Linked DNA regions of Oryzias latipes. The protein of the gene in region 4 purifies or fractionates together with the protein of the main gene of each other region. This does not show direct contact. Links are inferred from orthologs where the notes say so. Each region holds a gene or a part of one and is shown on either strand. Other genes may lie near its edges. The genes, in order: nup107, nup98, nup85 and seh1l.

Evidence for each region.
Region 1: the proteins of seh1l (region 4) and nup107 purify together in Homo sapiens (affinity purification with mass spectrometry; 5 studies listed by BioGRID and IntAct, with this or other methods). This does not show direct contact. The link is inferred for Oryzias latipes from reciprocal best matches to the Homo sapiens genes SEH1L and NUP107.
Region 2: the proteins of seh1l (region 4) and nup98 fractionate together in Homo sapiens (co-fractionation; 3 studies listed by BioGRID and IntAct, with this or other methods). This does not show direct contact. The link is inferred for Oryzias latipes from reciprocal best matches to the Homo sapiens genes SEH1L and NUP98.
Region 3: the proteins of seh1l (region 4) and nup85 purify together in Homo sapiens (affinity purification with western blotting; 4 studies listed by BioGRID and IntAct, with this or other methods). This does not show direct contact. The link is inferred for Oryzias latipes from reciprocal best matches to the Homo sapiens genes SEH1L and NUP85.

What each region holds. Positions count from the first base shown.
Region 1 is NC_019881.2:22,222,514-22,228,334, forward strand, and holds part of nup107 (nuclear pore complex protein Nup107), read right to left. Parts: intron 5,345-5,821; coding exon 5,254-5,344; intron 4,621-5,253; coding exon 4,541-4,620; intron 4,462-4,540; coding exon 4,402-4,461; intron 4,334-4,401; coding exon 4,188-4,333; intron 3,028-4,187; coding exon 2,979-3,027; intron 2,902-2,978; coding exon 2,832-2,901; intron 2,759-2,831; coding exon 2,643-2,758; intron 2,572-2,642; coding exon 2,275-2,571; intron 1,462-2,274; coding exon 1,359-1,461; intron 1,289-1,358; coding exon 1,128-1,288; intron 1,053-1,127; coding exon 927-1,052; intron 1-926. UniProt on the Homo sapiens protein: Plays a role in the nuclear pore complex (NPC) assembly and/or maintenance. Required for the assembly of peripheral proteins into the NPC. May anchor NUP62 to the NPC. Involved in nephrogenesis.
Region 2 is NC_019872.2:23,867,340-23,872,943, forward strand, and holds part of nup98 (nuclear pore complex protein Nup98-Nup96), read right to left. Parts: intron 5,575-5,604; coding exon 5,442-5,574; intron 5,370-5,441; coding exon 5,137-5,369; intron 5,060-5,136; coding exon 4,878-5,059; intron 4,138-4,877; coding exon 3,884-4,137; intron 3,809-3,883; coding exon 3,533-3,808; intron 2,621-3,532; coding exon 2,463-2,620; intron 2,393-2,462; coding exon 2,252-2,392; intron 2,184-2,251; coding exon 2,032-2,183; intron 1,971-2,031; coding exon 1,749-1,970; intron 1,656-1,748; coding exon 1,414-1,655; intron 16-1,413; coding exon 1-15. UniProt on the Homo sapiens protein: Plays a role in the nuclear pore complex (NPC) assembly and/or maintenance. NUP98 and NUP96 are involved in the bidirectional transport across the NPC. May anchor NUP153 and TPR to the NPC.
Region 3 is NC_019866.2:13,013,145-13,018,602, forward strand, and holds the end of nup85 (nuclear pore complex protein Nup85), read right to left. Parts: intron 5,304-5,458; coding exon 5,172-5,303; intron 5,100-5,171; coding exon 4,993-5,099; intron 4,913-4,992; coding exon 4,829-4,912; intron 4,747-4,828; coding exon 4,681-4,746; intron 4,587-4,680; coding exon 4,435-4,586; intron 4,323-4,434; coding exon 4,205-4,322; intron 3,254-4,204; coding exon 3,153-3,253; intron 3,027-3,152; coding exon 2,875-3,026; intron 2,243-2,874; coding exon 2,141-2,242; intron 1,936-2,140; coding exon 1,837-1,935; 3' UTR 1,751-1,836; downstream 1-1,750. Other genes in the region: ADP-ribosylation factor-binding protein GGA3, read left to right, coding at 1-152, 229-398, 472-582, 659-769. UniProt on the Homo sapiens protein: Essential component of the nuclear pore complex (NPC) that seems to be required for NPC assembly and maintenance. As part of the NPC Nup107-160 subcomplex plays a role in RNA export and in tethering NUP96/Nup98 and NUP153 to the nucleus.
Region 4 is NC_019874.2:7,223,363-7,229,859, reverse strand, and holds the start of seh1l (nucleoporin SEH1), read right to left. Parts: upstream 4,411-6,497; 5' UTR 4,297-4,410; coding exon 4,186-4,296; intron 4,073-4,185; coding exon 4,022-4,072; intron 3,939-4,021; coding exon 3,792-3,938; intron 3,705-3,791; coding exon 3,493-3,704; intron 3,262-3,492; coding exon 3,163-3,261; intron 3,095-3,162; coding exon 2,954-3,094; intron 2,847-2,953; coding exon 2,692-2,846; intron 402-2,691; coding exon 257-401; intron 1-256. UniProt on the Homo sapiens protein: Component of the Nup107-160 subcomplex of the nuclear pore complex (NPC). The Nup107-160 subcomplex is required for the assembly of a functional NPC.

The DNA.
Region 1 (5,821 bases), on a different chromosome or scaffold from region 4:
AGATCAGGTCAGGAGAGAAAACCGATGCGGAACAACCGAACCGGATCAAACGCTCCACCTAATCTGATCCTCTGCTAATAATCCTAGGATTAACCTGATTTATGGGGTCCAGTTCTTTATTTAGTAACCAAACCTTTGAGCACGCATAGGTGTTCGTTTATTTTTTTATTTTAAAAACCCAGTTATTAATAAACAGTTTTTGGGTAACGTTGAAATAAGAGTAAATATCGGAAATAACTCTTAAAGCTTTCATTAAAAATCTTTCAATTAAAAAAAGATACCACGTTCTTTAAACACTAGAAGAAAAGTTTAAGACATTAAACCAACATAACGTATACATATCTGATGTGGGTATAGATTTTTTGCCTTTTTTACTAACGTTTAAATGATAAAGTTTGTGAAACGTAGCCTACTTTACCTTAGGAGAACAACAGTCAGATTTACACAGAAGCGAATGCAGACTGGATAGTGAGCCACCTAGTGGTTACACTGTAAACTGCGTCGGTGTTTTCCTGCTTTACAGAGTTTTTGTTCATTTATTCTCAACAAAACAGCAGAAATATATAACATGACACTCCAGACATTAAACAACACAACCTGTTAACCTTCCTCTATGCTTAAAATCAGCAAATTGACAACAATCTGCCTCTTCAATGCATCACACCATGGTGCCTCTGAAACGTCAGCGGGTGGAAAAATCTTCAGGAAAACTTCTAAAAGAACCTTTTACTGGGAACCACCTCCAGAACAGTTTGTGAGCGAATCTACATAAACACATTCACAAAAATATGAGAGGTTTTTCTCTGCATTCGTTCAATTGACGGTCTCCTCAGACCGTTTCAGGACTCAGAACCTCCATGAAAACCCTTTCATGAAGTCTGTGATTCTCCAGGTTGATACAGAAACGTGTACCGGTTATTGCATACCTGGTACTCCTTCTCCTTCATCTCATTGGCCACTCTTTCCGTGAACTTGACCTCGGGGGCGGGCACCGGCTTCTGGGGTGGAGAGCTGCTGTGGCTGAACCAGTCAGTGAAGGCCTCGTGGGCTTCCTGTCAGAAACAATCACATCCTGTTGGTCTGCCTAACACAAATACACAAAGAGGTCTTCTGCAGGCATGACAGACCAGGTAGGCTCTGATGCACAGGTGCTCCCTGACGGCGTTCTCGCCCTCGGCGGGTAAAGGCGTGGTCTGACCAACCCCCGTCCACTGGGAGTAAATCTCCCTCATTGAGTCTTCTGGGACCTTGGAGAACACGGCTTTGGCTGCATCGTGTTTCTGCAGAGCTGAAAGGCAGGAAGCGGCCTCAAAAGGCGGGAATCCATGTGACGGGGCGTCAAGATTTAATAAAGTTACCCAGAAACTTCCTCATGATGGCGTTGGACTGCTTAAGGGCCTCAGCGCGGTGGGCGGGGTCAAACAGCAGCCAATCGATGACGTCAATCTTCTTTTGGTCCTCCTATCAGAGAGCAGATTCACATTTGGAGCTTTTTATGTTGGGCAGTTTTAACCTCAGAGATTAATGATGACCTTTGAGTTTCTGATGTCTAATCAGTTATTTACCAGAATGGATTTGTGGCGGCTTTTCTTTTGGTTTTATCTCCATAGCAACACTTATTTTCTGGTTGCCTCTGGGCGGCACAACTCTGTAGTTTTTAGAAGAATCTGAAAAAACTAAACTTTTGGATTTTCTTGGCCACTGAGGTTTTCTGTTAACCACAGCCACATTCCTAATATGATCATATCGAATGTCATATTCCATAGGAACGATTCGCCTATTACTTCTTCACAACATTCTGATTAAAAATGTGCATTTTCCCCTCAAGTAGCTTCCCAGCGACGCTTGGAGTCGTGAGGCCGCATACAGAAATCTCCATGGGAAGTTTAGATTTCTAGCTGGTACGAAAAGGCCATTTTTATGGATAATTCAAGATGGCGGCCTCTCGCCGAGGTCAGAAACTTCAGCTGTGGCTGTGCCGGTATGTCAGTGGAATTCTGTGTAGATCGTTTGAGCAAACGTTTTCCATATTCTGCGAAAATGTAAAAATGTCTGCTTTTTAAAAAAAAATGGATTCTCCCAGCGTGATGTCATTATTGGGGGCGGGCCTTAAACATGTCAATAATTACCTTGCATAAGGTGCTGGGGGTGAGATTTTTCCCTCAAAGGCACAGTAAAAACAGAAGAATTGCTAAAACAATCTGGTAATATTGAAAATAATAAAAAAACTAAGAACATATTTTTTATTTTGTGTTCATTTTTGTGCGTTTCTACCTTCGTGGTTCCAGTTTCCAGCGCCTGACTGTGATGCGTGAACTCCGTCTCATCGTGTTCTCGGACCGTTTCCACCACCAGCTTGGTTATGGCGGAGACGTCCAACCCCGCCTCCCTGGCGAGCTGCAGGCATTGCGGCCGCAGCTCCGGCTGCGTGACCGTCTCTAAGAAAGCGGCGTACTGAGCGGTGGCAAGCTCGGCGGGAAGCTGGCCCACGTAGCTCGCCACCAGGTCGTTGTGCTGGTCCCGGATGAGGAGGGAGACGTACGCCTTCAGCACGTCAACGCACACCTCCTCCTGACAAACACAGGTGAGGTCATCTCAACGACGCCACTAGAAACGACTTAGAAAGACGCCGACAAGTTTACCTTCAAAGCCAAACCCAGAGAGCGGAAAAACAGCACCAGGTGAGTCATGAAACGCAGCAGGTGGAAGGGGAGGGGCTTTGAGGCCGTCAGCCAATCGGAAAACTCCTCCAAAAGACCTGATGGAGACAGAAGCAGACTAAGCTAACATCATCCGTAGCATCATCAGGTCCAGAGGGGCGGCGGCCTTACCGTCCAGGTCTTCTAGAATGATGAACTTCTGGATGACGTGGTAGTGTTCTTTAGTCTCATCCAGGACCCTCTAATCCCACAGAAGAAAGAGAAAACGGATTATGATCTTCAAGGTTTCACTTAATGGTCATTTGAACAGAGTCTGACCTTTGATTCTGAAGCTTGGAGCTCCTCAAACACCTTTTCCATGGTCCAGCTGAAGACAGAAGGACAGTAAATGACAGGAGGGGTTTCACCACATTCACCTGCTTCACTTCTATGACTGTTGATTGACACTTGGGCGATGTGAAGGTCAACCGTTCACAGGGACGATTCTTACCGTTTCATAGATTAGGTCTGAATGGTTTTAATGTGTACGTTTTTTGCACTAATATGTATTTTAATCGCCGTCATTGAAACCTGTATTTAGAAAGGCAGATCACAATCAACAAAACAAATAAAAGTTCAACGATTTAGAAAGAAAGAAATGTTTTTTATCCCTTAATTCAATCTCCCACTCAACTGTTTTGCGTCAACTTCCTGGTTGACTTCAGCAGCAAACAAAACATTAGCTTCATTAGCTGTGTTTTTAAAATTCTGAAAATGTTGGAAAAACACAATTTCACAATAACACTTTTTTCATTAAATCATAATTATGTGAATAAACACAAACCAAGTCACACGATAAGTCGTTCAAAAACATGGATGTGAACAATCCTTTGATTGACAGCAGATACTTTCACATTTCTGCTCTAGCGCTCATCATCATCTACCAAAGGAGACGTCGGCGTCTTCTTCAGGCCATGGAGCGGCGAGCTCCTTACACGTGGGAGGGGCTACGGATGAAGTCATTTTGGGAAATGGTGGTTGGTGGTTTTCCAGGGGATCTGTGGGACGTCTGGTGGCGCCCGCTGTGCAGCAACCATGGCCGTCAGTGGAATTTAAATGTTGATCAAATGACTATTTTAATTTAAAAAAAAAGTGTTTCCATTGCAATTTAGCAAGAAAAAAATGTTTTTTTTTTAATTTTTTTAAACTTATTTCACTAAACCGAACTTCAGTCTTGTTGTTTTTTTTTTGTTTTTTTTAATCTCCAAAAACACTTTGATACTTTTACTTTGAAAAAAATAACCTTCACTGAAGATGCATTTACTTCCTGTGACAGCAGTGCATTTGGTTTGTTTAGTTTATATACCTAAAGTTCAGCGTTATTCAGCAGTTTACAGCCATTACTATATTCTTTGAAGTTAATTTTACTATATTTTATTTATAAAGATTACAATTCAGCATCTCGGACGCCAGAAATATTTGTACTTGTTTTTAGTGGATCAGATCGTGAGTATCCGGATACTCGTTCCAGCCCTGGAGGATTCATACTTGGCCTCCAGATATTCCCGCGGGAGCGTCTCCACCTCCTGGTGGGCCATGCCCGACGACAGCAGGTCCTTCTCCACCAGCGAGTCCACCGTCACTCTGAAGTACGCCCAAACGCAGTCCTCCCACGACTCGCACACAGCCAGAAGCTGACAAAAAACAAAGACTTAAAGACTCAGAATCAGAGCGACCAAACCCCACCCACTGGTTCACGCACCGGTCTGAGGTTCCCGCTCAGGCTGGCGTAGATGGCTCGCTCATATCGGTTCAGCTGCTCCTGAAACACAAACGGCAGCATATTTAAAGCTTCTCTGCTTTCCTGTCACGTCAGGAGCCGGTTTCTTCCTGATGCCGACCTCCTCAGCCAGCCTCCAGCAGCACGCCTTCCAGACCCCCCTCTGTGGGTTTCCCTCCACGGGCTGCAGCTCCGACCCGCCTGCAGGGAGAAGACAGACCGTCGTCTTCAGAACAAACACAGGAGGACAGGAGCTAATCTTTCTGCATGAGACGACGGCGGAGCTGCTGTTTCAATGAGATGACAGCCATTTAGTTCATAAAACTGCAAATAAAGTAACAAACGGAAGCAAATTGAAAATCCACCTGATGACGTGACAAAGTGGGCGTGGCTTTTTGAAACAAACTTGCTTCAAAACAGGAAACGTTTAGGATTCTTAAAATCCGTCAGCATTCGAATCAATAGAATCATGTTTCTATCAAATTTCACTTTTATCCGTGCCTAAATCATGTTTCACCTTTTGCGGTGTAGCAGATTCTTTAACTGCAATTCTGTGTGATTTTAATCTGTACATCCCGTGTCTCCTGTACAGATTGTGTTTTATTTGTCAAATCTACCCAAATCTTCGATCAGATCTTTTCTACAATCCTGGATTTATTTTCTTTTTTAACTTTGAGAGTTTAATAGACAACAGAGTGTGTTTATTAGTGTCAACAGTGTGAAGTGAGGAGTTTTTCAGCCTCAAAACATCTAGAATTGTTAAACAAAAGAATAGAGAAGACCACATGGCATATTTAGTGTATGCTGGGTTATTTTTAACTCCTGTGAGGATACCTGAAGTCATGTTGGGGTCGTGGTAGAGCTTCCAGCCTTCCAGCGTGGCCGCTCTCCAGGCCTGACCACAGCGTTTACACAACCTCTGAGCCTACACACACACAAACGCACACATTGTTAGCATTTCTCATCACCCTATTCCAGCGTAAAAGCTGTGGATCAGGTTGAATAAAGTTCATAGTGTCTGTATCATTAGATGACTTCCTAGGTTCTTCTGTTTAGGGCTGAAACGATTTCTCGAGTTACTCGATTACAAAAATTCCTCGAGACAAAATCTCTGCCTCGAAGCCTTGTTAAATTCCTGACGCGCACTATACGCGCGGCGCAGGGATTTGATGGTGTCACACGGACCGTTTATTCACACCGACCTTTTGAATTTAGTTGGCGCGATGGCGGAGAATAGATCTATAAATAAACGGCAGAAATGGTCTAAAGTGTGGGATCATTACACACTTAATAAAGAAGAGAACAAGGTGCAGTGTCTCTACTGCAAAATAGAGCTGGCATACCACAACAGCACATCTTCCATGATTCAGCATCTGAACAGAAGACATCTGCGCGACCGCTG
Region 2 (5,604 bases), on a different chromosome or scaffold from region 4:
CGTTGATGATGCAGTCTGTGGAAAACAGAGCTGTGAGCCACAACTGAAACGTGAAGTTTGGACCTCCGGTTCTGATGAAGAGCGCTGTAATGAGTATCCAAATACCCGGATATGAGTGGGAGTCTTAGCGACATCCAAGATCTTTATACATCTAATGGGGTGTAGTAAAAAAATACTGAAGGCGATGCGGTCACCACTCTGAAAATGGAGACTCTTGTTGGATTTTTAGTACATGAAGTAAACTGAAAGCGTTTCTGCCACCGGAGGTAAATAACCCTTCAAAGTAAAGTGTTGGTAAAGCGTCTCTTTTTCAAAATAAAGCTATCGGGTGTTTTTTTAGTACATAAAAAAAGACTTAAATGAAATGTATAGAAAACAGATTAGAATAAAATTAGAATAACAAATGGGATGAATTTGAATTTAGGAATATAAAAAAAATCCTAAAAACACTAAAGAAGATGATCTCATCTCATGTCTTCCATCCACTCAGATGTTGCTGTGTCGTCATCCATCAGCAGAACTTTGACAAGAACATTTTCAGGATTTGCTGTAAAATGATCCAAAGCAACAGAAACATTTGGGTTTTGTTTACTCCTGAAGTTAACCAGGAAGATGACAGTTTGAGTGAGACATTGTTTTAAGTCAACACCTTATTTTTCCTAAATCTTTTCATTTTCATCTTTTATGTTTTGTTGATTTTGATCTGCTGTTCTAGAGAAAGGTAGAACTGATGGTGATTAAATAGATTTTAATTTGTTTTCATCCAGTAATAAGAGTAAGAATCGCGGTTCGATCTGCAAATTGTTGATCTTGATTCGTGAAGTGATCCACGGCTCTACTGATGAGCCTCAGACAGAAACTGGAACAAAGAGGGAACGTGACCCTACGACCCACTAGCGAGAGCAGAGAGCCGTTTGGACGGTTCAGGAGAGGAACTTGAGTGTTGAACAGAACGAAGCTTCAGTCAGAGCTGCTGGTGTTCAGAGAAGCCTTTAAACTCTATGCTTGCACGTCTGTAGGTTAACAGAGGTCCATCAAGAGTTCTCCCTCCTTCATCAGGTTCCTCAGCGACATTACTGCTGCTAAACTCAGCATCTGTCTCCACCTGCTGGAAGCTTTGCAGATGAAGACCGATGCTGGAACCTGTTGGTTCTAAGAACCCTCGGCATCTGTTTCAGCAAAAGCATGATGGAAGATGTGGCCTGCAGATGGCAGCACTATTGTGGTTCCACTTCCTGTGGCAGTGGTTCACGAATGATATTGGATGTAAATCTTTTTTTATTGTAAAATCAGTAAAGGAGTTTTTGTGGAATCTGGACCGTTGTTGTGGTTCTGTGCAGTAAATGTTTGCAGAAATTCCTCCCAATTTGGGTCACTTCATTTGAACTCCGCTCCAAACATCAGCTCACCCACCTGAGGCCAGGTGTTGGATCAGCAGTCGGTGGCACTGGTTCCAGGAGCCGGCCCGGTACAGGTGCAGGGCCTGCTGGTGTCTGTCGCAGTGCCGATGGGCTCGGGTGGCCTTTGCCAGGTGGATCCACGGCTCTGGGACCAGCAGCTGCTCGGTCAGGAAGCGTTCCCTCTGCAGGGACTGGTCCGACTCCTCCAGGGGGCAGTGCTGGCTCAGCACGTGCCTGACGGCGCGCTCGCGCTCACTGAGGACGCAGAGCGTTTAGTCAGAGCTTCCTACAAAAGCCACTGCAGCGGCTGCGTTTCCAGTTTGCGTGCACGTGCGGTCGGACACCTACGCGTGGTCGGGGATGTGCAGCAGGATGTAGACGGCCATGTGCCAGAGGCCGGCGCTCTCCAGCTGTGCGGCGTAGCTGGCGTGGAGGAGTCCCTGCCGCGCGGCGCTCAGGTGACTGAAGTTCAGCGCCTGCAGGACGCCCCACAGGTGCCAGCTGAGCCGGAAATCCAGGCGCTGCCAGGTAACGGTCAGAGGCTCCAGCAGCTGCTGCAGGCCGTAGTGTCTGTGGGGGTGGGGGGGTTAGAGGGTGAATGGGACTCAGACTCCAGTCAGGTGAGGCTTACCTGTCGCTGTAGAGCTTCAGCAGGTGGAAGCACAGATCGTACAATGGACGATTAGACTCTTCCTCCTCCTCCTCCTCCTCCTCATCAAAATGTTTTGCCTCCAAGTAGGGGGGGAGGGGGGCGCAGGAGTACTTCCCCCCCTCGGCTGAACCCTGCAGGAACAGCAGAGTGAGTTGACCTGCGGGAGGAACGGAAACGTTGCAGGTCAGCAGCAACTCACCTGGAAGGCAGCTTCGTACTTGGCGAGGGCGTCGGCCACGGACGCCGTGGGGGGCAGCATGTACCAGAGGTGGAGAGCCACGCAGCGCTTCCAGTCGAGCTGTGAGCACACGTTCACCACAGAGTCCGAGGACTGCCACACCTGCAGGGAGAATCTGCGCTCAGAAGACCAGAGTCTGGGCTGCAGGGTTTTCCAAAGGCGGAGCGCGTACCGGTTTTCCGGCGAGCAGAGCGTAGATGCGAAGCCGTTCCTCCGTCAGGTAGCAGTCCGTATGAGTGCGGCTCCAGTCGGCGAGCTGCAGTCCCAGCAGGTCGCGGCACATCTGAGAGCCGGCGGCCTGAGAAAGCAGCAGGGACAGACGGTGGTCTCCTGCAAACAAACAGGCGTAAGCCCCGTGTTCTCCTGCTGGTCCAGCTATGAAGGGTTACGGTTAGTCTGGAGCGTGAAGCCTCCTCATTATGGTCTAAAACCATAACGACAACAGGTTCAAGCAAAGCTGGACTTGACCAAGTCAAAACCATCCAGACCTCCTTAGGACTCAACCAATCATCGGACAGGCCGATATTTGTTATTTTGACATATGACGGCATCAGGATTTCTTTTATTTTATTTTTATAAATCAGACGAGCTGATTTTGAACCAATTATTTTGGCTCAGGATCTAAAACCAAAACACATTACACCCCTGCCCTGAATGGTGGTGGAGGGAGTATTTTTACGTATAACAGTTTTGCTAAACATAAGGATTTATTTTTCGTCCCATTACATTCCCCCAGGCTTAGTTTTACCACAGAGGTTTTTCTTCTTTTTTTCCCTTGCATAATAAAGCTTTATTTTTAGTTTTTTTTTGTTGCTTTGGATAAACTGCATTGAAACCACACAAAACCAAAATAGAGGTTTCCCCTATAGTTGGGAAAGGTAATCATTGCATTTCTAGTTTGAAGGATCCCTCAAACACAGCGGAGGGGAAAGGTTTTCTGGTGTGGAGAAGCTGTGCAGATGGTTCATAGGTCGTCTAAAGAAACCCAGAAAACTCTCCTGTAGTGATGAGGACCAGGCCTGTGCCTTTGACCATAATGTCTTTTACCACTGTCAATCATAAGTTGAAAAATGAAAGACTGCCCTCCCCGTACTGAGAAAGAAGCGAACAAAACTGTGCTCTACTACTAATAATAATCAGCATTGACCCTCAAAAACCACATCGGACGATGTCTATTCCTTAGTGCTCTTTCTGGCGGCGGTTCGTCTGTGGTTCTGGCTCTGCAGGTTCTGCTGAACTCACCTTCTTTCTGGGCGAGTCGACATGCCTCGCTGATTCGGTTTCCTGTCAGGTAACTGAAGATGGCGTCTGCGTGGCAACCCTTTCCTGCCACAGACACCTCCTCCTCCACCCTGTGGGTGGCGCCGGACGACAGCCAGGCGGAGAAGCTCCTCCTCCTGGCAAGTTGCTGCTCATACTGGCTGGGCATCTCAGCATCAGCTTCCACGTCTGCAGGGCCCAGGCGGCCCCACAGGGCCTCACACAGAGTCCAGACCTCAGCCCAGTGACCCAGGAGGGCTGCAGGGGGACAGAGGGTCAGATGGAGCATTGTAGGAGGCGGAGCCTTTCTACAGCTGTGACATTGTCACTCACGCTCTGCGCCGCCTTCTTTCTCCACCAGCTCTGTGATCCACTCGGCGTAAGCGTGCAGCGCGTCCACACCGGGCCGTGGCTTCACTAGAGGACAGTCGGACCCGTCTGGAACACTGACAGTGCTGTACTTCAGGCTGATTTCCAGGGGGCGTTGCAGCACGGTCTGGTCCTCGTCGTCCTCACTGGTCTTACCCTGAAGAGGATCTAGACCCACCAGCTGCTCAAGAACCACCTTGTACGGACTTTCTGTCAAACTGAAACCAAACATCAGGATTTGGAGTCACAAAGATGTCTTTGCTCTCTTCAGCGCTCTGTGGGAACCGGCGCCCTCCAGAAAAGACTATTTAATGTTTCCACAGTTTGGTGTTTTCTCCTGCTGTTATTTTCAGGTTAAAGCTACGTGGCGTGTGACCCAAATGTAGCCCATTACTAGCCCATGTTGCCACCTACAGTTGGAAGAGGCTTGTTGCAAAAAGTGGGCAAATCTGGTCAGTCTTGCTCCAGGCTTTTTCTTTCTTACATATCTGAAAGACTTGGCATCAGAATTCGGAGCAACCACAAACCACAATTATTAATTTCTCCTCTTCTGTGAATTAAAAAGGACATCAACCAAATTTGAAACCCTGGTTGGTCATATATGGTTATATTTTTAACGTTTGTTCGATGGTTTTGTATGTAAAGGCTGAAAACGGTCTTAAGCATGAACACAAGAGATTGGAACGCTGAAACGCGCATTTACGTGCGCTTACATAGACTTTTCTTTGGAGGTGGAGGCTTGATCACGCAATGCTGAGGGCGAGGTGAACACAGCTGAAGACTTCTCAGTTCAAACGAGAAAAATAGCTAAATCTATTCTGCATAAAGGAGTTTCTGCATTTTTGCTTGTCATTTCGACAGTTTCCCATAATGCTTAGCGTCAGCGTCGAACAGGATCAGGATTTGTGCACAGCAGTGAGTCGACAGCAGCTTAAAGATGAGGGACAAGCAGCCTTACGGTTTGGTCCGGGCAGCCTTTGGCAGGAAGCTGAAGTCGGCCAGGCACAGGTCTCTGCTTGCCCCTGGTTCAGATGTCGGAGAGCTGAGTCTGCTGCCGCAGTGGGCCAGCGTCCAGCCGGGACCCCAGCCCACCCTGAAGGAGCGGCCAGCAAATAGCCCCGCGTCCATCAGCAGGCCTCCCTGTACAGAGAAGACACAGATGACGCTCCTCCCCAGCACCTCCTCTTAGGCGTCCTCCATGAAGTACAGGTACCCACCTTCCCCTGAGTGACGGACTCTTTCAGAGGGACAGGTCCGTCCAAGCGGCGCACTCCGACCGTCCTGATTGGGGGCTCTGTCGTTCGAGGGGGGAGCATAAAAGAGGAGGGGCCCAGGCCTTTCCACTGCACTGAGCGGGGGGGTTCCGGTCCCACTGGAGACGCTCGAGGGGGAGGGCGGAGCGACTCAGAGAGCTGACCAGTAGAGAAGCGAGTCTGGAAGAGTCCACCAACTGCAGAGAGAAAAGGATCAGACCCAGGGCGCCAGCAGAACCAACCCTGGGAGGGCGGGGTGTAGCTCTTACCAGAGGGTCGACTCAGAGATGCTGGCATGGCGAGGCGTGGAGATGAGATGTCAGCGGAAACCTTCATCCCACCCTGATGCTGGAAAAGGTCTCCCTCATCTTCATCCTCAGCAAACAGAGATGCCTTCATGATCTGCAGACAAACATCCACCCTCAGAACAAA
Region 3 (5,458 bases), on a different chromosome or scaffold from region 4:
CTTGTCCCGCTCTCAGAATCAGACCGTGGCTCCAGGCAGTCCTGTGTTCTGCTCCCTGTCCCCTTGCCACCCACCCCTCCAGGGCAGTTCAGGCAGAGGTGCAGACATTTCTCTCAGCAACGTCCACGTTCCTTTGGAGGCCATCAAACCCAGTGAGAACAACAAAGATGCCAAGCATAGAAGTATATCATTTCTTAAGCCTAATTGTTAATTTTTGTCTGCTTTTAGGTAAAGTCTTACCTGTTACTGCCTATGATAAAGATGGGGTTCGTGTGCTCATCAACTTTGCGTCAGATTCTCCTCCTGGGAGGCCTGACGTGTTGGTGATGGTGGTGTCCATGCTCAACACAGCACCCATGCCTGTTCACAATGTTGTCCTGCAAGCTGCTGTGCCAAAGGTGATGAGAGAATCAACTAGAGCCTCAGAAACCTTCAACAACTCACACTGTGTCTGTTTTAATCTTCTGCTAGTCAATGAAGGTAAAGCTGCAGCCTCCATCGGGAGCTGAACTGGCCCCTTTCAACCCCATCCTGCCTCCCGCCTCCATCACTCAGATCATGCTGCTGGCCAACCCAGCAAAGGTGGGTAACACAAAGAGGAAGCCGTGACCAAAGGCAAACTTTCATCCTATAGAAACAAGAGTTTCTGTCCCCACAGGAAAAGGTGCGCCTGCGCTACAAGCTGTCTTTCACACTTGGAGAGCGTCTGTACTACGAAGTAGGAGAGGTGAACCATTTCCCCCCACCAGAAACATGGGGACACCTATAGCAGAGTGGTGCTGTGAATAATCCACACTCATTGAAAGGGTGTTTGTGGGCTCCCTTCATTCCAGACAAAGATGAAAAGATGTCCATTTTTTAGCTTTACATTTCTAATATGTGTTCATTTTTTCTCAGTGTTATTAGCACTGTGGGGTTAAAAGAATCCTTTGTGCAGTTATAAAACTAAATAAAAATGCTAAAATCCAGAAACTTCTAAAAGAGGTTTTCCAGAGATAAATCTGAGCCTTGAATGCATCTGAAAGCAGAGTTTGAAGACTGTCAGACTGAAAGTTTAGAACCAATGTTTGCAATATTTTTTCCTGTAAAATGTTTACATACCTGTAGACATGTGAAAGTTCTTAAAAGTACAAATAATGTGTCATATTGTTTCAGGAAAATATTCAACCAGAATGCATTTCTTTCTAGATTCTCCAGGGTTCAACTAGCTGTTGTTGCTAGCTCAATGAATTCACTGCTTCAGATTGAGCCATTTAAACTCAGTTGTTTGTTTTTTTTAAATATTTTTATTTTATGAAATGTGAGGGGAAAGTGATTTCATTTGTTAGAGCCTTAGCCTGGAATGAAAGCACTGATTTTCCTCCCATTGTTGGTATATGTTCAGGTATATGTTCATGTGCGTTTTTAAATCACTGAATTTTGGTTTGCTCTGTTTTTTGGCAGTTTGAAAGGTTTTATTTTGAGACTGAAATATTTTACTGTGCAGTTTGGCAGTGAATGCATCTTGTAACATGAGCAGAATTTGTCCAACACACGTTTTCTTAGGATATCAAAATGTGAGAGCAAAAGGGTATCGAGTCATGTTGGAGCGGATGTACAGAAGTGTGTTTGATGTAAATATTGTGAGATGTGTCTGTTTACTGTAAATTATGGAAATGTAATGTGCCATCTGTCTGCTGCTTGAAAATAAAAGAGTATTGATGTTTGATATTCCCCTTTTGAAGTACATCATTATGAATAAAAAAGCTGATTTAGGTTGAGAATTTTTTTATTATCAAAAGTCACAAAAGTTATTGGATTTTATGTACATCATGGAAAAGAATGAGGGGGTGTACTTCATGTTTCCACCGTTCCCTCTTTGACTATGGCCATTGCCAAGTTTCTTGATAGCGCGAGTCTCAGGAGCTCCACTTTGGTCAACTCTACATCTTCCTCCTAAACGAATATAGATATAATAAAGTGTTTAAATCAACTTCCCATTCACAAATCCAGTATATTTCTTCAAAAACAAAGTTTCAAACATTTAGAGATGTACATTTTACAGGGAATAAAAGCTGCTTTACAAAGCCAAACAGGGAAAAACTCTTACTTTGAAAGGTTACATGAAAGTTTCAGAGGCTGGAAAGGATGAAATTCGTACCTGCATGGATTTGTCCGAGTCTGAAGATGGAGTGTTCAGTGAGGAAGTGAGCTCCTCTAAACAGAACATCAACTCATAGGTTTGGTCCGCTGAGAAGATCACCTTTATAAAAAATAAATAAACCAATAAAAACATTTAAAAAGGCGCTTTTGTCAATATCTTATAGCTTTTCTTGCATCAAAATGCAACAATCTACAGCTTGGTGCTTAAGGCTGCTAAATACCAACAATGTCATTAGGAAATGATTTTTGATTCACAAAATAACGAAACAAAAGCTCATGGGATAATTTAAAAGAGTGTGTTACAAACAAAAATATTCAAATACTTCATGATTTTACAGACAGAAAATTCCTATATTGAATTTTATATGTGATAGAATAAAAAAACACAGTTTGAAACTTCTAAAAGATTCGAAACTGAAAGTGGAAAAAAAGATTTGAAACTCAAATTGAGTTTTGAAACTTAAAAACAGAAAATTTGAAGGTGAAAATAATTATGTTTCTATTAGAATTGCAGAAAGTTTCGGACACTTTAATTTTTTTTTAGCTTAACACCAATATTTTAGCTTGAATTTTCAAGTTGTTTTATTTGGGTTTGAAATCTTAATGGCCCTGATTTGGCTCCATACAACTTAACATTTGAAGAAAACTTTGGCTGAAAATCTCAGTTGGGTTTTATTCTTTGTTTAGTGTAAAAACTGCTCCACAAAAGCTGGAAACTTGATGTTAGCTGACCTCTTTCTGCTCCAGCAGAGGCAGCGCATCAGTCAGCAAGGTCATCCAGAAGCTCCGAGGAGCAATCTTGGCCGTCATGAGGGAGAGGAGCAGCTTTGCAGCCTCCTTGAAGCGCTTCTCCCCGTAAAGCTTGTGAAACTCGCGGTACTTCCCTAAACAAGCAGACAAACGTTATCCACAATTACCTAGAAATGAAAAATAAAATGCTGTTGCCCAATGAGTATTCATAGGTTCTGCAGGAGGAGGAACAACAATTCAAGTGTATTTTAAGTGTGTACCAAGAAAAGTCAGCCTGTCGCTTAGCAGCATGGCTGGACCCAAGTTGTCGATCAAATCCAGATCAGAAAAGGTCCCTTTGGCGCAGTAATCCTGTAAAAATCTGACACAAAAACAGAAAGATGTCAATTTGTTTTATTTCCCCAAACAGTAGGGGTGTAACGGTACACGTAGTCGGACTGAACCGTTTCGGTACGGCAATTTTTGTTTGGATCACTTTTGCAGCGTTTCGGTTTTACGTTTTTTTTTGTTCTGCCTCCGGCGTAGAGGATCTCCTCTGGGTTTTCCGATTACGCCTCAGAAACCTCATTGCAGGAGGTTCAACAGCCATTAGGTGACGGAGTTGACAGTGAGCGTGTCAACAGTATCATGCAGACGCGAGGCCAGAGCTGAAGGACCCCCCCCCCATTTCTCCTTACGCTCTTGTGTGTGGGAAAAGACAACTGGATAAGTCGAATGCTGCGTTTCGACATTTTATTGTTACATGAAGATAGCATATGCCACAGATAATGCATCTAATATGTTAACGCAATTAAAAAAGGTAAGAAATGTTTTTTTTTCAGGCCAGTGTTAAAATCCAAAGTTCTTGGTTCCTGACAGCTAATAGTTGTATTATTTTATGTAGCAGATCACCTACATAGATTAATTTTATTATTGTTATATAAAACCAATCAACGCATTTTGCAAGAATTTTTTTTCTGTCTTTTTGTACCAAAAAAACAAACAGAAAATATATCAAACCGAGCCCTATGAAATTCTGAACCGAACCGAATTGAGATTTTTGTGTACCGTTACACCCCTACCAAACAGTGATGTCTTTTTAGGTTTAGAATACACAATAAAGGTTGACAAAAATACAACAAATTAAACAGAGCTTTGAGAACCATTTGTGATTTAACTGATTTACATCTAAAAGCTGAGAAAAAAGGAGGGAAAACTTGAATAACTCTGCGGCTCAGAAAAACGTCCATTTCTGGACGTCTGGTGAAGCTAAAAGTTAAATGTACAGAACAATGATCAAAGACAAAGGTGCAGATTGTAAAGAGAAGCCAACCTTTCAGAGATGAGGGTGGCAAACGCTGCATCTTTGGCTCTGATGCTCCAGGAAAGGGCGGAGCCAAGTCTGTTGTTTCTTAAGGCCCTCATGGCCATGATTTTACAGATACTCCGTACTGGATCACAAACAAAAAACACATTTCAAATGCCAAACTCAACGAAAGAAAGTTCAACTTGAATGGTATTTCTGGAACCAAGGTGATTACAGAATAAAGAGTCTTTTAGAACCTTGCTCCGACATCTGCCTCTGTTCACAAATGCGGAGGACCTTCAGTGCTTTCCGCTCCGTGTCTAAGGGAACGCGCTCAATCTGGAGCTCAAGGTAGACACGACCAAACTCGAGGCAGTGATCGAAGTAATCCACAGCCAACTGCCACAGACTGATCAACAGACAAACAAAAAGACATCCTTTAAGGGAAAACCTTCACAGAAAAATTCAAATAATTAAAAGGAGGACTTAAAAAACAAACCAACCTGTGATGAGTGAAGAGGCCAGAGGCATATTCCAACAGGAGGAATTCTCTTAAATTGGAACCAAAGCTGCAAAAACACAGAAAAACACTGAATAAAAGAAGTCCTAACCTCCAGACTAAAAAACTAAATCTGCACACAGGGTTCTTACTGTAGATTGTGAGACTGGAGGAGTTTGCAGTGATCCAGCAGGTCTGTCAGATGAGCCACAAACCACCAGTTGTTGAGAGCGATGCTGAGGCAAAAGGAAGAAATTGAATGTTTAAAGTAGATTTAAAATAAGTGTACTTGCATGCATCAGTCCCATTGTTGCACCTGCAGTCCTTAATAACTTGATGGATGTCAAACTCAAAGGCAGCCAGCAAGATGCTGTCCAGAGGTTCTGGTGCGCTCCTTGAGTCCAGAAACATGGTCATACACGACTGCAAAACACACAGGTACACTTAATATCTGGATGCAGCAGACATGAGTGCAAGTTTTGTAGAATAGTTCACCTGTGCATAGTAGTGCAACTCAGTGGGCTTTACAGTGGGATGACAGAACAGCAGTCTTGAGACAAGGAAGTGATACCAGGTTCCCAGGAGGTCTTTGTGCTCCAGTAAAGTGTCTTCATCACCCAGGAGGATCTAAAAAATAAAGAACAGAAATTATTGAAACATTTTATATCATATAGTTGAAACATTTGCACCAATTTATTAATCTGGTGCTGCTAAATGACTAAAATGTATTTTGGTGCCAGATTAGAAATTAAAACACACATTTAATATCCCAGAAATTGCCT
Region 4 (6,497 bases):
AACACCCGTTAGTCCTTTCATACAACAGAGGGAACATTGGCCCTCTTATGCCATACAGCAATAAACAAAAAACAAAAAAAAACCCTCCCAGCACAGAAAGATGTCGACAGCCAAGCTCTTTACAGGAGGCGCGGTCGGTGTGAGTCCAAATGGCAGGTTCAGTTGTTTCAGTGGCAGCTCCGGGTCAGTGTGAGCCCACACGAAGCAGTCAGGCTTTAACGAGGGGGTGTGGCCGCAGATGCACCACGCCACCTACCTTCCTGCTGATATCCCATTCAGAGCATTCTGGGAGAGGAGGGAAGAGCCCACCATGGTGCTGATGGGCTGACCTGAAGACGCGCTCAGCGGGCTGCCGTCTCCCCTTAGGATGCCGGTGCACTTCCAGTTGTCCATGTAGTTTGCTGCAGAGCATTCATGCAGAGGACAGCTTAGGGAAGAACTGCGGACACCTTCAATACACCAAAAGCTGCATTCACCTCAAACACGATTCACACATGAAGGGCATCCAGTTCAATGCCAATATACAGTCCTGATCTGAGGTCCTACAGTGCCACATGAGCATCTGGAATGTTACATCGATCTGGCGGCAGCATAAATTTGGGTGTGATGAGGCATCAAAAATCTAAAGCGAAGAATTCACGCCATGTCAACCAATCAGGGGCTCAGCTTTGGCACATGACGTGTTAATGTCAGCAAGTGGAGCCTAAAACCAACATGGAGGAGAATCTCATCGGTCTCCTCCTGAACTTTATATTTTTCTTTTTACTTTTAAGACAATAACAGAAATGTCCTCTAGTTTGATTAATGCTGGACAGCAAGTGGTCAAACTGGGTCACAGAGAGGTGGAAGAACCGCTGAAAGCAGCAGGCATTCAGACGCAGCTCCTGCAGTAGACGGTGAAGCTCTACGTACTGGAGGAGTCTCTGAATGATCCGATAAACCCAGACATGGAGATGTGATTACTAGGGGTTGACGGAAAATTTATTTAGCGATACGTCGCGATATTTCATTTGGCGATATTTGTATCGATTCAAAATGCTGTCCAGGACGACATTTTTTTTACCGTACTTTCACGACCATAAAGTGGACTTAAAAGTCTCACATTTTCTCCAAACTATAGGGGCGCACTATGAGGCGGTGCGCCTAATGCGTAGCTGTGAGGCGTAGAAGAAGACGGGGAGGGAAGTAGGGGTTTGAACAATATTGTGTAGTGACCTAACTGGAGCTTCACTCTGTATGCGGTGGTAACGACTGAGCTGCCAATCTACTGGCTGCGTTGAGAAGCTGTACATACACTTCCCAACCCCAAACAATTCAAGTCGAGTCGAGGAGCGGTGAAATCCATGTTTACTTCAGCGTGGGCAGTACTGATCCGTTACAGTGATCCCTCGCTATAACACGGTTTACTTTTCACGGTTTCGCTACTTCACAGATTTGCATGGTTCATTGTGTTCTGCATTCTGATTGGCTAAAAAGTCACTCTGCTTCTTCTCTAACTGTGCGTCAATGACGTTGCAGTTTAATATGTACACGTACATAAAACAGCTTGCCAAATTTACATTATGTACGTGCAAATTCTCTTGCAATTTCGAGTTTCTCTAAAACCCATAGAAAAAAGAGAAACAACATCTTCCTATCACTATGTTCTTTCCCCCAAACAAACACAGCTGCACCGCGGGCTTCAAAAGAAGAAAACACTGCAGAGCGGAGTCAGGATGCAGCGGCTCAGTCTGCAGAGCAGTGAAATACACCTGAGTCACTATTTGTCCGACTGTACTTTGTATTTTATTCATAATCATTTTAAAATTTTCTCCCGTTTAATCCAATTACTTGGGTCATGGGGGTGGGGCTAATCTCCGCAATTTGAAGCCTTCTGTTCACATCGATGATTAAAATTATTATTTGACAGTACAGTACAGAAGTTATTTGTTGAAAAAAAAACGTTTCTAAAGTACTTTTATTTGTGAAACAAATGCTTGAGCCTGTAAAATGGTTTGTTATTTCTTTTCAATGTATAATAGACTATTTAATTATATAATAATTGTAAAAAAATTAAAGGTTTCTACTTCACAGATTTTGCCTATCACGGGTTCTTTTTGGAACGTAACCCCCGCGAAAAACAAGGGTTTACTGTACATTTCTTTTTCCTACCATGTTTTACCCCCATTAACATTAAAATAAATGTTAACATGCAGTACATTTTGTGAAACATTTAAGAGCTTATCATCATTTAATATTTAAAGACATACTCTGACCGTAAAATGCTTTTATGTATTTTGCGCACATGCGTTGACACATCAGGTAGCGAGAGTAGAGCTCTTCAAAATAAACTGACTTGATCTCTCAACTTCTGTGTCGTCCATGTATTGTAAACGACAAATACAGTCAATGCTTTCATGTAGAAGACGCATGAGGCAAATAAACATTAGCTCCTCCCACATGCGTCACAATTATGAACCTATTTTTGGACAGGTAGCCAGCAGCGAATCCGACATTTGTTCCAGTTGAAGCGGCCAACGCAAATTTGTGAGCGCAGCATTAGAGGTCCAACACTGAACCTCCAGAGGAGGCCATGTTTCTATTAATCATGTACCCATCTCAGGAAAATAAGAAAACGGTCGCTGCACTGCAGACGATTGCCGACAGACGGCAGCCGTCTGTGTTCCTGCTGAAGGTGGACCAGCTTCTTACCCTTCCATAACCGCACGCAGCCATCGTCCCCAGAGGAAGCCAGCAGGGTGCTTGTGATGTTCCAGCTCACACGCCACACCTGGGAGTTGTGATTGTCGAACTGCGCAACAATCTGCACCTCAAACTTGCTGGGTCCGGTGGATGAGCTCTCCTTCCTGTTCCAGAGAACCAAGACACATTTTCTGTTCATTTTCTTCCTCCTTTTATTTCAAAAGCTGTGTGCTTCGAGAAATGCACCAGAACACATGATGATGACAATCACCTCATGGGGGCAAGCTTGAATATTCTGACATCTTTTGTTGCAATAGCGAGAACATGGAAAGATCTCCCCAGGTTGGGAGCGAACGCGATGTCGTGGACTGCGTCGGTGACAGTCATCAGAGTCTCCACTTTGCCGTATTTCCTTTAGAAGAAACAGGAAGTGTCAGGAGGCCGCTGCATCTCTGGCCGCTGTGTGCTGAACACGCTCACCGTGTGTTTTCGTTGTACTCATAGATCTGAACCTTCCCACCGCTCGCGATGTTGCTGTCATCACTGCCCACGGCAAACATGGAAGGGTGAGCCCGTGAGCTGGGAGAGAATGATGAGATGAGATGATTCAGCAGAAATCCGCCGCTCCTGCCTTCACTCCGACCTGTCATCAGGCAGTGGCGCAGACGTGCTCTTCGTTTGTGTGTAATGCCATGTGGAAACTTAGAATGACACTCTGTGCCCAGCTTCACAGACACATGGAGCAGAACTGAACCTCCATCAAACTTATGGTCTGGTCAGCTCATCCAGAATATGAAAAAGCTATATAACCTGGAGGGGTTCCATGAAATGCAGCTGCAGCTGAGCTTGCATGAGATCTCGTGTTGCAGCGACCACTGGCTCAGGTTCATCACATCCGGAGCTTCGTAGATCCTCACCACGCCGTCCGCAGAGCAGGTGGTCAGCATCAGACCCATGTGTTTAGGAGCAAACTTCACATCGGTCACTGATGTCCTACTGTCCACAAGTGTGGTCCTCTTAATCTGGAATGGAGAAGCAAGAAACACTCACATGACCTCCACCTGCTGCAGGTTGTCGCTGCAACTGCCCGCTCCCAACCCAGCACTGACCCAGTGGCTCAAGCCTCTCTGCTTGTCGTTGGATTCTCCTACAATCTCCTCCCAAACCGCAGCGGTTCGGTCAAAGGAGCAGGAGGCCAAAACCTGCCCGAACTCTGGATGAGCCCAGGTCACTCTCCACACTGAGCCGCTGTGTGTCTGCAGAGAGAAACCAGGAGGAGGAGGCTCACATCTGTTCAGCACAGAAGGTGGAGTTCGGCGTGAGGATGGAGGCGTTTTACCTTCCAGCTGGCTGTGCAGAGCCACTCTCCACTCTCGCTTTTGTCCCAAACCTCAGAAAAACAAACAGAGCTCTGAATGTGACACATGGCCGCGCGGCAGCCCGGGAACGGTTCATCACAGTCGAGGACCGCGGGCGCGAGCTCAGAGGCTAACGTTAGCTTACCTTCACACTCTGGTCACTGGAGCAAGTCGCCATTCTCCGGCCGTGAAAGTCGTACGACACATCGTGAATTAGATCTTTGTGATCCGCCGCGATACTACGAGCCACAAACATGATCCCGGTAGCAGCGCGCCGCCAGCGATAGCTTCACCAGCGCGTTAGCAGGCCTACCGCAGAAATCATCCAGCTTTGAGACCTGCTTTTTTTGTTTAACTTTATTGTACAAAACGGAAGTACAATACAAAACACAATTTTACAAAATAAACTTCAGGTATGCCAGGGGAGCATTCATATTACATGCATTTTACATAAAAACATTCAGGTTTCTACAACTTTCATATAAACATACAGCTTTCTGATTAAGACTTTTGGAGATGTTACTGATATACATTTCAATTTGTTTGATTAACAAGGGGAAAAAATAGAAGATGAAGGAAATTTACGTTTATGAATATAAAATTTGCCAAAAATAATAATAAGATTAATTATGAGTTTTTTATTAGAGGCCAAGTTTTTATTATGAAAACCAAATATGATATATTCATACTTCAGAGTAAAGTTGGGGTGGATTTGTTTTTCAATAAATTGTAAACTTCTAATCTCAGTAAAATTCCAAAAAAGCGGTTAATTGTTTCTTTGCAATAAGGACAATTAGGATCAATTGTTTTAATGTATCTTATCATGAATTGATTGGTGGGGTAAATTCTGTGAATTATTTTAAGAGAAACTTCTTTCATTTTATTACTTATCATAAGTTTGTGGGTCACACTCCAGGCTTTCCTCCAAATACTTTCAGGAACAAAACGTCTTAAAGGAATTTAGGAACTTGTGAGGAATTTAGGCAGAAGTTGAGGCAGGTCCTGGGTGGTCAGGATGAGCTTCCAGAGGACTGGGAAACTACAGCAGAGATTATCAGGGAAACAGGTAGGAAGGTGCTAGGTGTGTCATCTGGAAAGAGGAAAGACGGTAAAGAGACTTGGTGGTGGAATGAGGAAGTACAGGAATGCGTCCAGAGGAAGAGGTTGGCTAAAAGGAAGTGGGATGTAGAAAGGACTGAGGAAGGTAGACAGGAGTACAAGGAAGCGCAGCGTAGAGTGAAGAGAGAGGTGGCAAAGGCCAAACAGAAATCTTACGATGAGCTATATGACAGGTTAGACACAAAGGAAGGAGAGAAGGACTTGTACAGGCTAGCCAGACAGAGAGACAGAGATGGGAAGGACGTGCAACAGATAAGGGTGATTAAGGACAGAGATGGAAAGGTGCTAACAACCCAAGAGAGTGTACAGAAAAGATGGAAGGAGTATTTTGAGGAGCTGATGAACGAGGAAAATGACAGGGAAAGAAGGGAGGAAGATGTGGTTGTTGTGGAGCAGGAAGTAGCAGAGATTGGAAAGGATGAGGTTAGGAAGGCTCTGAAAAGGATGAAGAGCGGAAAGGCCGTTGGTCCTGATGACGTACCTGTGGAGGTATGGAAGTGCCTAGGAGAGACAGCAGTGGAATTTCTAACAAGGTTGTTCAATAGGATTCTAGAGAGTGAGAAGATGCCTGAGGAATGGAGGAGAAGCGTTCTGGTCCCGATCTTTAAGAACAAGGGTGACATGCAGAACTGCAGCAACTATAGAGGAATAAAGTTGATGAGCCACACAATGAAGCTGTGGGAAAGAGTAGTGGAAGCCAGGCTTAGGAAGAAGGTGGAGATCTGTGAGCAGCAGTATGGTTTCATGCCCCGTAAGAGCACCACTGATGCCATTTTTGCTTTGAGAATGTTGATGGAAAAGTACAGAGAAGGTCAGAAGGAGCTGCATTGTGTGTTCGTAGATTTAGAGAAGGCGTATGACAGGGTGCCGAGGGAGGAGCTGTGGTACTGTATGAGGTCGTCTGGAGTGGCAGAGAAGTATGTCAGAGTAGTTCAGGACATGTATGAGAGAAGTATGACGGTGGTGAGATGTGCTGTAGGTCAGACAGAGGAGTTCAAGGTGGAGGTGGGACTACACCAAGGATCAGCTTTGAGTCCTTTTTTGTTTGCTATGCTGATGGACAGGCTGACAGACGAGGTAAGACAGGAATCTCCCTGGACAATGATGTTTGCGGATGACATTGTAATTTGCAGTGAGAGTAGAGAGCAGGTGGAGGAACAGCTAGAGAGGTGGAGGTTTGCTCTGGAAAGAAGAGGTATGAAGGTCAGTCGTAGTAAGACAGAATACATGTGTCTGAACGAGAGGGATCAAGGTAGAAGCGTTAGGTTACAGGGGACTGAGGTGAAGAAGGTGCAGGAGTTTAAGTACTTGGGGTCAACAGTTCAGTGTGATGGGGAG